Drosophila melanogaster: one gene and its partner. The protein of the gene in region 1 interacts with the protein of each later gene in a pairwise test. Each region holds a gene or a part of one and is shown in the gene's direction. Other genes may lie near its edges. The genes, in order: Pfrx and CG3517.

What was found.
Region 2: the proteins of Pfrx (region 1) and CG3517 interact in a two-hybrid assay, tested with the Drosophila melanogaster proteins (one large-scale study listed by BioGRID).

The regions. Positions count from the first base shown.
Region 1 is NC_004354.4:19,496,355-19,501,651, forward strand, and holds the start of Pfrx (6-phosphofructo-2-kinase), read left to right. Parts: upstream 1-2,018; 5' UTR 2,019-2,420; coding exon 2,421-2,526; intron 2,527-5,297.
Region 2 is NT_033777.3:19,423,129-19,427,105, reverse strand, and holds CG3517 (uncharacterized protein), read left to right. Parts: upstream 1-1,906; 5' UTR 1,907-2,048; coding exon 2,049-3,197; 3' UTR 3,198-3,327; downstream 3,328-3,977.

The DNA.
Region 1 (5,297 bases):
GCCACTCGCATAGATCCGCGCCAAAGTTATCGGAGTGCCCCACTCGAGGGGCGGTAAATCGTGAGTGAAAAGTGTAAAATACAAACAGTATATGCTCTTTTAACCCCACCCCCAATTTTAAAGTGCTACGGTTTAAAGTGCTGCGAACCGGAGGTGAGTTGCATTATTATATCCTCTTCCAGTGCTTTCATGACACATTCACCCATGGACCTACACCCGCGAACACCAAAACACTACGCACATGCGCAGAGCGGCCACCGACACCGATAACACACCAATGCAATGCAAAAAAGTCGCGCTCTAGTGTGCGCTCTTTATTTTTGTTTTTAGTTTCGCTCCACTCTGCCTTCTGTATTCATCGGGTGCATTTATTGTTATCGGTTTCTCTTCCAGCAAAGTCGGTAATCGCTGCGTGTGCCTCGATTCGTAAACGGTAAACAAGCAATATTTTGTTTTTCATGCTGATTATCATGTTGATGAATGAAGGAGCATTTACGCAATTGTTTTGTGAATTTTCCGCTGTACACTGAAAGATTCTCTTTGTGGTTTCTCCATCTCCCTCGCTCTCTCTCGCTGGCCGATGGCCCACCACACAGGCATTCACACACACCACCACCGCGCGCACACACACACATTTACAGTAGGCCGCCATTGCTCTGCTGCGCAGCTTTTACAGTGTTGCATTCTGCCGCGCAGTGTTGTTGCTGCCGTGAAAGCTTTTTCGGCCCTTGTTGTGTGCCCATCTTTCGTTTTGTACAGATGTTTTTGCCATTCCCTTATCACCTTACGCTTTATGCGATACCTAGACTATCGGTTGTTTATATCATCTTTTGACCGGCGGAAAATATGGGAATGAATATTAAACAATTGTTAAAAATTTAATTAATAGCAAATCTACCAAAAGTATAAGCCGACGTTTATATACTCTTTCTGTTAATTTTATCAAGTTTTATCCATAATGCAATTAGTTTAATTGCTTACTTTTTATAATAATACATTTGTAAAGTTGTAATAATATGCTTAGAATGGCTTAGAATGTTACAATTTTTCGGGTGAGGAATATTTTTCATTTTTAAATAAAATCTTCTCATTCCATCTAAAATACGTTCCACCTCAATTCCTTTGCATGGCTTTAAATATTATATTACACTGACACATTCACCATATGTATGCATATTTAATCCATTTAATTACGTATTTAAATTTATTGTTATTAATTAAATGCATTGCATATCGTTTGTCAGTTACCAAAGTTTCACACGCGGCTATCTCTGTTCAAAGAGATCGCCATAGTTTCTCAAGGTGTAAGGGACGGAAGTGCAATAAAAGCTTATCGTGTAATGACACGCGTTTTAAGATTAAAACAATGTTACAAATCGTGCTATTTGCCAAGCCAGCAAACTTGGTAATGGCTTGGAGGTGCAATATTTAATCTCTTTTATACACTTTTAAATGCCCTGTCATAGGTGTAACGGAATATTTATATATTTTTTGCTTTTTTAGGCCAAGTTGGAACTAAACTACATATTTGATGTGAAAAGTACGTTCTTGCAATCTGTCTTATTGGCTTTTCACTTTAAATGGGCATAGCATAGTACAATATATTATCAGTAAATCCAATCAGATTGATCTCTTTTGTAGGGGTGCTGTTTTTTCGACCGCTGCTGTTGCGCTATTTACCGCAACCTTTCGTAATTCCTGCATAGGAATAGCCAAGCGATGCGGACTCGGGACTCCCGGATTCCGAGAGTCAGCGACATCGGTGGAATCGACGGGGTCCGTACCCCGTACCGTGCTCGCCTATTGCGGCTATGCTGTTTTGTTTGATTTTTTGGTACTCGCTCGGCGATCCGATCGGATGGTATCATATCGTGGGGGATCGTATGGGATCGGATCGCTCGCGTGCCGTTTCGTGTCGTATCGCTTCGTTTCGCATCGCTTTCGCAAACGGCGGTCCGGGGCTCCGCGCACTTGACTCGCTCCGCTTTGCGCATTTTGCTCATTTCGATTTTGCCAAGCGACGTGTACGGAACTGAACTGAACCGAACTGAATTGATACGCGGTTCGGCGGATTCGCTTTGTACTTTCGTTTCTTGTGCTGTTCTGTGTGCTGTGCGCCCCCACATCAATATCGAGTCAAAATCAAGTCAAAATACGAGAATTCGTGTGTTTTTTCTCTGTTCTTTTTTTTTAACTATTTTGTTTTTTTTTTATTATTTGCGTACTAAGAAATTAGCGTTGTAGCAAAAGTAATCTGTGATTTTTTTTTCCGTTCTGTTTTGTTTACCTTTGGCTTGTAACGATTCAAAACAAATAGCAAATCGCGTGATTAAGTGATAAAGTGGCCAGAAGTCGGTGGTCGGGCGCTCTGCACACTGCTTGCATTCAGCGCGCGCCTGCACTGCTTGCATTCCAGGGCAATGGCTCAGTCGACGGCAACGGCGCCGCTCTACGCCGGCTACAAACCCCTGATCAGCTCGGTAACCACGGATACGGATCCGGATCCGGATATGGCCCCCTCCCTGTGTACGTATACTATTTAGTGTAGATTCCCGCCAGAGTCTCTTCATTTCACCCACGTTGCACTCCATTTGTGCTGACTGGGTTGTTTGGGGTGTCTGGGTTGTCTGGGTTGTCGGGGCTGTGGGCACCACCACCTTGATTAGCAGTTATTCTTTGGCTCATTAACACAGCGACGATAGCACAGAGTGGGGAGTGTGGGGAGTAGAGTGCCTATTCTTGGGCATCCACTCTTTCTCTCTCTCTCTATCTCTCTCTATGGGTTTTCTATTGTGGGGATTACACGCAGCATTGCCATTTACGTCGTTTGTTTATGCGGCGCTTGGCTCCCTTCTCATTTTGGCGTCATTATCGCCATCCCCACTCGTCATCATCGTCATCGGCGGTCGTATCGGCATCCTATGAAGAATGAGAATCTGAAGCAGTGAAACGCTTTGTTTGTTTTTATTTTCAAGTGTATTCTGGCATTTTGCTATTTTTGCTAATTTTTGTGAATTTCCTATCTGCCGCCTTTGTTATTGTTGTTACGACTGCTAGTTTTCAAGTTTTCTGGCTTTTGCTATATGCAACACCACGTAGTCGTCGCCGTCGTCGGTCGCCTTCATTTTCTATCATTCCATTTTTCTCGCTTTTCTTTGGGGAACCGGAAAAATAAGCCAGAACACAGCAGCACATACGACAGAGGCACCGAGGAATCGCTGTGATTTGGTCATTTTTTCACTTGCTATCCGTATCACCTGACCGCTTTGCACAAGCCACCCCATTCCCACCCGCTTTGCACCCCTTTTCCGCCCCTCCGGCGGCCTTGAGGGTCCGTTATTTATAATTCCTGTTTGTTTGTTTGTTTGTTTGTGTCTGGTGGGGCCCAGCGAATATCACCTTGCTGATCGGAAGCTGTCTACGGCTTCAATTTCAGTTCAGTGCCCTGCCGAACTTCGGATATCGACGGACTACTACTACCAGTCACATGACACATGTGTTCCACGGATAGGAGCCTAGGCTTCGGTGCTTAGAGCCCAATCCCTTTTGAGCCCAGTGCAGCACATGGCATTGAAACCGAAAGTTGGGGCTTATCTATGTGCCTACAGCGGTGAAAAGTGAATCCCACACACACACACACAGGGTGTCTCCATATTAAATAGTTGAACTACAGAAAACTTTTAGCTGCATTCGGTATTCAGAAGTGTGCTGCATGCTGCACTTAATCTATAGAAATTGCACTGCATTGAAAAATCCAAAACAATATTGTCATGTAATTTGTCATGTATTTGTAAAATTGATTCATATAAGCTGAAGTCTAGAATGTCAAAAGCGAAGAGCACTATTCTTTTTTGTTTGCTTTCTAAAATTAAAAATTGTTTAATGAGGGGCGTAAAGTTGTAATATCGAAACTAGACAATAACTATGACACATACCATTGCTCGAACTGGCCAAATGCTCCACCCTACTACAATGGGAAATGAAAGCAAGGTGGTCACGAGTCCCATTGGAGCTATTCGCGAAACGCAATTAGAACCCGGGTCAGGTGGTCTGATCGGTATTATGGGGTTGCGCCCACTTATAACCCTTTTGCGATCAAGTCAAACGTCTTTGGGTAGTTTCTAATTGATTTTTAGATGGAATCGCAGTTGTTAAATGATGAAAACAAACATATGTGCAAACATTGCCGGTTGAGCAAAGTTAAACTATTATAGTGCGAAAATCAATTCAAGTGAACTATGTCTGCCATAGAATGATCGTTTTTTTTCGTTTTTTTTTTGTGAATACAGATGTCTATATGATTCGCAAATACGTGAAATCATTTACCTAATCAGCATACTCTGCAAACTAAGGGATGCTAAGTTGAAATTTAAAAGAAGCTTACAAATAATCAGAACCAAAAACGATGAAGAATCTTAAAGAGTGCATGAACATTGTATAGATTTTTTTTTGCACTCATATCAAGGGCTCACTGTTTCTGTAAAGCGTAGATATAGCAAGTTACAGAAAACTCCCGATCTTTCAACTGATGATACGAAATGGACGGAGGGCAGAGGGCTTTGATGTCGCACATATGTACATATGTATATAATGGTAAAATGGTTCCGCAAAAGGGGCTGTAATGACTCAATGCGGCTGAGTCAGAGGCAGAGGCTAGATATCGAGTGGCAACAGTGTTTGTTTCTTTTCGCCAGTGAGGTGGAAAGTTTTGCATTTGCCGCTTGGCAGACCCAATTTAGCATCCACCCACGCAGCATCGCCATCGGCAGCAGCACCACTCACTCGCAACTCACGTGAACACCGTGCCGTGCATCGTAAATTGCCACCTGGAGGAGCGATAAAAGGCGCCTGTTCGGGGAGGCGATGGATGATGGAGGCGTTTATGAACTCTGCCGCTATCCAAATGTGGCAGTGATCTATGGCTCTGGCCATAGCTCTGGCCCGCTGATAACCGACGAGGCGACCATAATCGGTATTAAACACCGCCATCATACGCCGATGGACTTCTCTGCTCCCTTCCCTTCGCTCATCAGTTCATTTAGTTGAGTCGCCGTTCCGTTCTGCAATGTGCCATTATCAGTCTTATCAGGCCCTGTCCGGCCGGACTTTCATGCCGCTGAAAATGTTGTTATTGCTGTTGAGCGTTATTTTCGGTGGTTCCGATAGGGACCACCGACAGTTGGGCGAGATTATCAGCCAGTCGGTGGGAGATTGTACCACTTGTGTCCGCATGGTCGCATTCGCCATTTCTGCATTGCTCCATTTCTCCGATTGCGTCGCTGATCTTGCGGATGAGT
Region 2 (3,977 bases), on another chromosome or scaffold:
TGTGTATTTGTGGCGACGAGGCACTAATTTTAGGTACGTGCCACAGTCTAAGCGGTTATAAATGTGGGTTAGCTGGGCTTACACTCAGATGGTCCCGAAATTCAGTTGATTGATATTTTTAAAGCTGGATTATTTACAGACCAGATCTGTGGAAAAGTTTAACAGAGTGTGAACGACGCCTTAAAATTGGTTTAAAACAAGTGTTTATCATCCTGCAAACAAATTCGCACTTCAGGATAAAATATATATTAATCATATGGCAACCGTTATGATATTTTGCCAAACTTATTTTTGTTCTGTAACAATTTAAGCAGAGTTCAAAGTTTATTACTTTTAAAATGGTTGGCATATATCTTCAACATTAAAATATATCTAATATCAATCGATTAAACGAAACCTTAAAAAATATTACATAATCGGTGTTTTGCATAAATCTCTACAGATACATTTCGTGCCATTTGCTGTACATAAAACAATTTCCAGAGGTATTTTATTTCTGCTCGGAAAAATGGTTTCGATTGTAACTTTATACGGCAGACAGGTACTCCTATTGCCGCCTGACCATCGCCACGTGTCCGTTCCATGCTGTCAACTTTTATTGTTAGAGAAACGAATATGAATTTCTTGTGGGTCGCTTTTCCATTTTCCAAGAAAAATTGCCGGCTAACGAAGTCCGGCCGATAAGGCCCCGGCAACAACAGTTGGCCATTTTGTCTGGCCAAGATTTATGCGCGATTGCTCAAGTTTTATGAGTTACGTAGTTGCATTTTAGCCTAAAGAAAAAAGAAACAAGAGCCCGAAGGTTGTGGATTGAAATCGCTCATCTTCAGGACCGCACCGCGCTGCTATTTCATTATGAGTTAAACAAAGTTGTAACGACTTTTCTCCCTTTTTTTTTTTTTTGTCTGCGACAGATTATGGGGCTTTTGTGCTCTGCGATTAAAGCCAGTTTTCTTACACTTATGGCCAAAAAGTTCCCTGATATGCAAGGGGTCAAGTTGGAAGGACATTGAGCAAATGAAGATTTACATTCGTCAGCGATTTTTTTCCGTTCGCCTTTTCCATTAGAATAAATGTTATTAGATGACTCTTCGGTTCCCGTGACATTTGTCAACAGGAAACGGATATGGCAAAGCTTGTCTAATAAATTCTTTGATGTATTTACGCTGACGTTTCCCTTGGGAACGAGCTCAGGATGTCGTACTTTATTTATGCCACTGCCAGACGCATTTCTCACTCCCCAATGAATCATAAACTGACTCAATGCCGTCATCAACAATTACGAATGTATCCCGCCCAAAAAAAAAAAAAGGACATCCATTACGAAGGCCGCAAAAAGAGAAATGAAATGTCGCGTCGCCTACTTGGCGGCTGCCTGAAAATTTCCACTGTTGGCTTAACAAATATTTGACCCATCGAAACTTATACGTGTGTCTACAAGGAATGGGCAAACAAACGAAAACACAACTCAAACAATCTATGCCGTATCAAATGCCGCTTAGCCCCCGACAACATGAAAAGCCAAGAAAGTAACCAAATTTGGAGAAAATCCTGAGGCTTTGCCTTGTTATCTGACACTTGTGTTTATTTTGGGAATAGAAACACAATTTGGCCAAGAAAAACTTGGTTTTATAAAATGTTGTATGTTTTCATACCTTTACAGTACGACAATCTTTCCAAACAAAAATAGTGAATATTTTATTCTCTGATAAACGGAAAAGCATTTGATTGTTAAGAGACTTACAAATGAAAATGTACTGCGGATGTAGTTTGATTTATTGCAACAATTGTATTTCGCACTTGTGGTTATTTTTAAAAAAAACGAAATATTCCATTCCCGTTTTAGTTTACCAAATGGGAAAAACTCGAAATCTAGCAGCAATTGATCATTTTAAATCCTGTCAGGCGAACATTCGCCCATAACATTCATTTGGCTTGTCTCGTTTTATCAACTAGTTAGAAAAAAACTTTTAGGTAAAAAATTCGAAAATTGTTCATGCTGCAAGGAGTAGCGAACAGCATCAAAATAGAGGTAAGACCGATTCGCGATGCAGGCCCATCATGCGATGCCCGATTTCCGATGCCGGAATAATTGCCAGCACAAGGAGTGCCAGAGGCATGCTCCTTTGGGCATAATCGATCAGCACACCCAGTGCAAGTGCTTGGGCGAGGTAAATGCCTCATCGATTTTCCTAGAAAATGTCCTGGACCTGGCCAACACTTTGGCCCAGGTGATGATCATCTGTGGACTGCACGAGTGCAAAGCGAAATCAACCGTGGACATTATCACATATGCCTTCTTGCATTACGATCAGGTGTGCTATTGCATTGATACCACGCCCAAGAAGCGACTGAGAAAGGAGGATTTGTTCCACGAGCTGGGCAAGAAGTCGCTGATGAACAAGGTGGAGGCCCACTTGGCCTATGCCATCATCAAGAGGGGATTCAAGGCCTTCTACTACGAGCCGAAAGTGGACTTGACCTACGATGAGCAAGGCAGACCCTCGTACAACGATGAATGCGTCTGGGTCCACGCAGCCAGGAAGTCAGCCGAGTCCTATGCCCGCTTCGATGGCCTCTCCTGCGCCGAACAGTTGGCATACGAGGCCAAGATCAAAATAGCCTTCAAGAAGTTCTACGATCGCATGCAGACGCGCAAGAGGCAGCCGGAGGGCGACGATTGCAACTGCTGCTTCTGTGCCAAGAAGCGGGGACATCTGGTCTATGCCAAGGAACCGACTCCCTGCACTTCCAACAAAAAGAAGCCCAAGCACGTGTGTCCATATTGCTGCAAGAAGAAGCAGAAGCAGCAGTACACACACCCTGCTCGCCAGCCGGCCAAGTGCCCCAAGTGCCACAAGTCGCGCAAGTTCTGCTGCTGCACCAAAATGGACTTCAACTTGCAGTGGGTCAAGAGCATATGGGAGCGGCCGGACTTCAATCAGTACTACAAGAACGAGATCGCCGAAATCGAGGACCGCCTGGTCAAGGGAACCTGCTGGCTGCCGCCGGAGCCTGAGGAGAAGCTGCTCGATGAGGGCGAGGGCGAGGAGGAGGAGGAAGCCCACCAGGAAATGTCGCCGGAGGCTCTCCTCGCCCTCGGCGGCAAAACGGTGCCCACTATACCGGATGAAGGAAACGGTTCTCCACTGGCCACCAAACAGCCGTCGATCACCGAGGGTGAGGGCGAGACCTAAGTTTGAAGGATCCTGCGAATCGGCGCTTGCTAGATTTCTAAATTTTACTTTACTCTTGAGGAAAGCAGTTCTCAAAATTTTCAGTTCCAGCTGTTCTTCAACAATTTATCATTAAAGTTGTACTCAAGCTAGTTTATGTACTTTTCTGTAAACAAGGTTTCTTTTATTTTCGTTCCACATAGCCATGGTATCATTAAAGGATTAAGAGCCTTTCAAAAGTAAATTTTTCGAAGAAGTATAGCTCTTAAACAAAATTACTGCCAGACCTAAGGTAGCTCAAATGTTTAATAAAAGGTTTAAAATCAGAAGTTCATTCAATTGAATCTGGTTAAATTCCACCAACTTCACTTTTAATTACCCAAAGTAATGGCTCGAAAATAAGGGGAAGTGAGGAGGTCATATCAACTGCCTTATATTAAGACGGAAAATTGAGTTTGCTCTTAGGGGACACACACACCTAGCTCGAACAAACACGGCCGCATCCATTTGGCCCACTCACACTCTTGGCCACTTGGAAAACTAAACCGGCTGCGAAGAGCTGTGACCTGTGTTGGTGTCTGTGTCTACTTTGGCCGAAAGTGGCATGCAACAGTAATGGAAAATACATTTAATCTGGCTTATGCAGCAGCTCGGCCCGACGATAACTCGGGCGCACTTCATCACAGCACTTGCGGCTGAGCAACCCACCTAGGAGAACACCTCTCTTTGAGCTGGAAAAGTGAAAATGTGGGAAAGCGTTCAGGCAGCCCAGAGGCAGCCATTTCTCTCACCTGGAGAAAA